Linked DNA regions of Bombyx mori. The protein of the gene in region 1 interacts with the protein of each later gene in a biochemical or structural test. Links are inferred from orthologs where the notes say so. Each region holds a gene or a part of one and is shown on either strand. Other genes may lie near its edges.

The links.
Region 2: of the proteins of Jnk (region 1) and transcription factor JunD, one has a biochemical effect on the other in vitro, tested with the Drosophila melanogaster proteins (2 studies listed by BioGRID). The link is inferred for Bombyx mori from reciprocal best matches to the Drosophila melanogaster genes bsk and Jra.

The regions. Positions count from the first base shown.
Region 1 is NC_085109.1:1,366,617-1,370,454, forward strand, and holds part of Jnk (c-Jun NH2-terminal kinase), read right to left. Parts: intron 2,438-3,838; coding exon of another isoform or gene 2,310-2,437; intron 1,448-2,309; coding exon 1,318-1,447; intron 665-1,317; coding exon 566-664; intron 160-565; coding exon 61-159; intron 1-60. UniProt on the Drosophila melanogaster protein: Mitogen-activated protein kinase and key component of the c-Jun N-terminal kinase (JNK) pathway which phosphorylate and activate transcription factors involved in a wide range of biological processes including response to various stresses, cellular proliferation, differentiation and migration, and regulation of cell shape.
Region 2 is NC_085125.1:13,168,503-13,171,480, forward strand, and holds the end of transcription factor JunD, read right to left. Parts: coding exon 2,449-2,978; 3' UTR 828-2,448; downstream 1-827.

The DNA.
Region 1 (3,838 bases):
GAAAATCCTGAGACTGAGTGTTGCCAGCCAAAAGGTATTTTTTTCCCTTAAAATACGAACCCGATGAATGATTCCGGCGAGGTGCAAGTGTTTGATGCCGCACAGCATCTGGTACAGCAGATAGCTCATCCGTTCGTGATCCAGATCCATCTGAATCACCTGCAATTAGCATTTTAACGCTTTTAGTGCCGAACTTGTTTCAATACAATTTACAAAAATAGCCAAAATATTTCTCAAAAAAAGTAGGACATTTAAAAAAAAAAAACAAAAAAAAAAATTACATTTGTAAATCAATGCATACAATGGAAAATATTTTGAAATGGTTCTTTATAAACGTTATTTTAGTTTATTAAAAACATGATTGTTTATTTGTATATTGTGAATAAAATTATATCCTTACATTATAAGTTAGATTAGTTTTCGTTATCGTGTTGTTTTATCGTATAATTTTACTTACTTACTATCGTTTTACTTATGTCTTTTATGTATCTTTTTAGCTTGTGACATGTATTGTGAGCCTAATAAATAAACAAATAAATAAATTAATTAATTATACAGGACTGACTTGGCACAGATTAGCGTCCATCAGCTCCATAACCAGATACACGTCTTGGAATTCCTCGAGGCTTTTCTGCGGCGTGAACGCGTTTAGCAATCCGATTATCTACAAACAACGGCACATCATTAAATTTAAATACTGAACCTCTATTGTCATGCTAGCAATTCCTTTATTGCCATGGAAGAACTGCAATTTAAATGCCGGCTGCATTGTCAAGTCGTTGACAAGAATCTCTTAGGCCAGGGGTCGACAAGCAGAAGCCAAATATAGATAGCACGTAATTGGATTTTATTTAAGGTGCCATTTTTTAGAACATATTATCGAGGGGTGAAGGGTTATTTGGTTTAAGCGAAATTTTTTGAACTTTACAAGAGAGCCATTAAAAGGTTATCATTTTGAAAAATATATTACGAAAAAAAAACTTCTTCAACTCTTTGAATGGAGTAAACTTAATTGAAGTTCAATTAAAACGTCGAACAATAATAATAATCAACGTTAATACCAAATAAAAAGCACCTTTAATTACGAAAATAAATTTCGCGTATTAAGCGAAATTTCGCTAAAACCAAATGTTCTTTCACCCCTCGATATATTTCTATAGCCTTTTGTTTAAAAAAATTTTACTCTTTACAAGGCAAGATAGTAAGCAATATTTTGTGCCTACACTAAATATTTCGCGAAAGAGTCATAGCTGTTGTATCAAAGGGCCGCGGGTTGCCGACCACCTTTTTAGGCAAATAAAAAATAACCAAGCTTACATTTTTATGGTTGACAAGTTTCATAAGTTTGAACTCCCTGTAAGCTCTTTTCGCGTGCGTCACGTTCTGAAACGGACGCGACAACTTCTTTATGGCAACATTCTGTTGCGTCACCGTGTCGTATGCGGCACTGGAATACAAAATCAAACAGTTTAGCTTTAAATTTTATTAATTTTTTATTAACACTTAGAAATCGATGAGCAATCATTTCATATTATAAATTCAGTTTCTTCTTCAGCGTGGAGCGGAGTGAAAAAGGTTGTGGTAAAGTTCATTTAAACGAAAAATCAAATACCAATAGTTTATTTTAATTGCCGCCGTAATGAGTTAAGAATTGTTTATGGTTTTTTAGTGAATAATTTACCTGTTTATACACACACATGAACATAAAGAATTAGAGTAATAAACTTATTAATAATAATAAATACAATATTTATAAATAAACCTATTAAAAAACCGGCTATTAAAAAAAACGCAGTTTGAAAATTATTAAGATAAAGCCATGCATATTAATGTAATGACGAAAGTATGTAGTACCAAAAATTTACCTGTTCAATACATAAAAATCAAAACGATGTTTTAATACTATTTATGATACAGATGATAAATGTGCAATACTGAAAACTCGTATGTCAATCAAAAAAAATCAAAAACAGAAAACGGCCATTTTGAAAAAAGTGACAAGAGCGGGAATTAAACATCACACTCACTCGTTAGCTTTATTCCAGAACGATCCTTTTTCAACATTATTAATCAGCCATCCAATAAACCGAAACAATGGACACCAATCGTGAATTTCGTCCACCATCGAATTTCTTAAGAACAACATTTTAATACCAATAAAATCACAAAAATACAAAAATAAATCCGTTGCACGCAAAAGTTTCACATACGGACATCGCTTGGTTAACGCGGGAATTTTAAATTAGTACAGATTAGTCCCAAAAGCTTGAAGCGGGAGTTTGATTGACCATTGTATTGGCGCGGCTTACCACACCATGCCCTGGGCGCCCGCGCCTCTGACCACCAGCTCAGTGTACCGGGTCGGGATAGTAAACACCGCATCACCGACCGTCACTGAGTAATACTGTATCATCTTACCGCTATTATACTCGATCAGCTACAAAAGAAATTGCATGTTTATTTTCTTCATGCGCGTGTGTGACAGTGTTCTGGCTGAATGATTATGGATGTTGTTGCTTCTTTTTCAGAATTAGCACCCCTTTTTAAAGATATTTGATTTCTAAGCGTAATGTTGGTGTGTAATGATAGCTTCGGGTCTTTAATTATTAACGTTTTATGTTTGTTGTTCACAATTAAATTGCAAGTTCTCAATGGCACAGCATAGACGAATGAAAGAACTCTCGAACCATCTGGTCTTAAGTGTTTACAAAAGACCATAGAGAATAGAGAGAGCTGTCAACATTTTTGGATGAAACAATACAAATAATAAATACACAAATATATAGTACGTAAAATCATGCCCCTTCATAATGTAGATAAAACTAATATTTATAAAAAAAAAACTATCATTAAACTCTATCGAAAATCTAATAATGTGAATATTTTAAAACAAAATGCCAGATTGTGAATATGTATCGTGCTGGATCGTGCAAGAGTGATAGCGTGCTGTATAAAAATTGCGAATTATTAAGTAAAATACACATAAGAATTTGCCTATTCTTAAACTTATTACATTGCATGCATGCTACTAAAGAATGAAGTGATTATACAACCCACCGTTGTTTATAATTCGATTTAAAGAATCTCATTACAAAATAGAACGCACGCGATAGAGATAGGTAAGACGGAGATGACGCCATCATGTCCGTGCCGGTCGACAATACTCCCTACCACTTTAGAGGAGGAAATTGGGATAAGAACTTTGAAAAGTAGAGGTTTTTTTTTAATGCCCTTGTAGGCATACTCCCTACCACTTTAGAGGAGGAAATGGGATAAGAACTTTGAAAAGTAGAGGTTTTTTTTAATGCCCTTGTAGGCATACTTCCTACCACTTTACAGGAGGAAATTGGGATAAGAACTTTGAAAAGTAGCGGGTATTTTTTTTAATGCCCTTGTAGGCAGACGAGCACATGGCCCACCCGATTGTGAGTGGTTACCGTCGCCCATAGCCTTCAGCAATGCCGGGGGCAGAGCCAAGCCACTGCCTAGTAGTTGGGGGGATGGGATAGTTTTATTGGGATACAAGTTGAGGATATGTTATAGCAACTAAAAGTGGCCGGACGCGCGTGGTAACAGCTAGAGACGCTGTTACCAACTTAAGAATCTACTAACCGTAATATGTTATTCTTTAAATATTTCTTATGAAACTCGAGATCTTTGCTGTGATTCCTAGTTACATTATTTAAACAAAACTAAGACAAATTATCACGTTGTTACTTAAAATGTATTTGTAAAATGTTAAGTGCAAATCATGAAACTGTAATCCTATAGTTGTTTGCAAAATGTTTGTATAAAAGCTAGAGTATAATAAACTGGTGGTATGATCTCTTGTGAGTCC
Region 2 (2,978 bases), on another chromosome or scaffold:
ACCCTTTATTTCCATGCCGTCAGAACAACAGAACGTTAATATCGTCACCGCTTAAGAGACATGAGTGGTGTCGTTTGGATAAAGGCTTTTCCTACTTTAAAAAACTGGAATATATAGGTAATTGATTCGTAGAAGAGGTAAAAAGAGCAGTGCTTTCGACATCCTCCTCTGCTATCGATCCAACTGTATTGTCATAAAGCCCTTTTTCAACTGTAATGTTTAAATCGTAGGAACTGTTCATTCATTTTTATAAAACACGAGCGACCCGCCCTCGCTTCGCTTCGGAAACTGTAATTTATTATTGATTTCTCCACTATTTAATGGATGTTATTATACATATAAACCTTCCTCTTCAATCACTCTATTTATTAAAAAAACCGCATCAAAATCCGTCGCGTAGTTTTAAAGATTTAAGCATACATAGGGACAGACAGATATAGGGACAGAGAAAGCTACTTTGTTTTATACTATGTAGTGATGGAACATGATAATTTACTTGCCACTTGAGGGAAATGTCACCTTATACTTTAGGACATTGTTTATTTACAATGCCCCACACGTGTTACAAATGTCATATTACATATTGTGTCCCGATTATGAATACAAGCATCATGTAGATCTTACGTAATATCGTATTTTATGCTGATGAATCAGCAAAACAGCTGTTATGCCGTAATATTGCCTCCTTGTTTACGATTACATTGCGTGCTAACTTTGGTTTTTTCTTCACAATAACATTGTTTTTATGCTTTTTATCTTTCGATATATATTTTTGTGGCATATATGGAAAAACTAGGGAAAGTGTGAGATTCTTAAAATGAAATAAATTTTAAATGGTATAATAATCCTCATAATTTATTTTTCTTTCATTGTTTTTTTTTATACAATACACGTAATGCGTTTTATAAACAATATTGTTACGTTAAATTCATAGAAATATAATATATTTTAGTATAACTGTTTCTTTATTTTTTATAAACTTACAAATTATTGTTAACATTCTGAAGAATTTGTTTGTATAAAAATAATACAAATAGGAAGAGGAGATGCAACTCTGAACAAACTCAGAGACGCACCTCATCCTGCACTATAAACTATAACAATCCAACGTTTTTAATTGCTTTTATAATTACTTAAATTACTTACACAAGACAATGGTACAGTACAATTTCTTGTAGCACACAATGGTAACAAAAACAATAAACATATGTAGGTATAGCTTTAGTTTACAAAGCGTAGGCACTCGAGATTGCTACTTCATCCTAATTCATTAAAACATTCTCATTCTTACCAATAAATACTTACATCACACATTCGCTCTGTCTAATCTCTGTTGCATACATACATCACACAATACGAAAACTCTCACAAAATAAGTTTTTATACGGACGGCTTTAGATTACAAGTCACGTCCTCTACAATACAGCACCGGTTCAGTTCCGTGAAATCATCTTTCCTATCAGAAAAAAATACATTGCGCTCTCTCGTACGTACTACAAGCAAGGCACACATTCAATCAGTCTCGCACACAAGCGCGCAATTTGTCTTCAAACAATTCAAGCGTGACGATCGACAACGTTCCATTTCGCGCCAGTGCCTAAGATACTGCACTACTGCAGCGGTAAAAAGCTAACCTTGTGCAACAAAACGTGATTCGGAACGTCCGATTGTTGAACACATGGCCGCCATTCCGCGAGGGCGGCACAGGCGGAATTTTAATTAGCAGAACATCCGCTCGTGACTTCGCTGGATGCGCCGGTGCCAGTTTTACGCCATGCTATCTCCTTTACTCGTATTAAATTTTGGTCCTGTCGATGCCTGTCACAGTGTTCTTTGTCTAATGTACAAATTACAGCCAAAATGAGATTTTATTATTAAAATTAAGTCTATTTATAAAAATGGCTACACAATAGACAATAGCAAAACAAATGCAACAAAGGAGAACAGCAATATCGTTGAAACGGGGAAATAAACGTAAAACTGGCAACGTCGCATCAACCTCGTTTAGTCTGTAAATGACGTCGCAAGATTATCCTTTCTAGTTTCTACACTATTCTAAGTAAAATGAGACAACTCAATACTGATACGATGAAAACGAATCTTGCAACTTACGACAGAAGCTAAGGCTTTCCAAGTTGTGACTTGCGCTAAGTACATCCTTCCTTTTAAATATTTGCAATATCACCGACATAACTATTCTCATACAACAATAATTACAATAGTGTCCGCAATCGACGGTTCTCTGCATAACACCACTGGCAAACCTAATCTCTCAAACTTAACCAGAAATCCACAGCATTCTTTAACGTAGCGACTTTAACACCTTACACACTAGGGTTCATTAACTATATATTACACAGTAAAATTAAGATCACAAATCGCTTTGTATGCTGCGTCCTAGCGGGCGCGACTAGCATGGAATGTGGAGGAGCGGCGATGGCGACGCGATCAGAAGTGCGACTCGATGTGGCAGCCACCATTCGCATGCTCTAGGACCTGCTCCTTTAGCCTGTGCACGTGGTCCCTTAGTTTCACCACCATCTGTGCTAGTTCAGCATTTTCACCTTTAAGAATTTTCACTTTCTCTTCCAGCTTTGAAATACGTTCCAGCTTACGTCGTCTACATTTGGAAGCGGCTACCCGATTCCTCTGTCTCTTTCTCTCCAGTTTGATCTTTTCCTGAGTGTCCATGTCGATGGGTGATAGCGGCGGCGTGCTGGCCGCGCTCGGCACCGTCTGGGGCTCATCCTTCACGATGGGAGTGGGGTATCGCTCTAGCGGCCTGTCCAAATCGGCATATACTCGACGTCCGAGCGGCGTCACTGCCTCGCCGTGGTGCAGCTTGTCTAGCGCTTCGACGAAAGGTCGCGCGTACATTTCTTGTTCCTCCGTAGGTGCTACTGCGGGAAATAAGACAGGCGCTCCCGGAGTAGGGGTAGCGGTTGTCACCATACCGTTTTGAATGATCAATTTTTCCA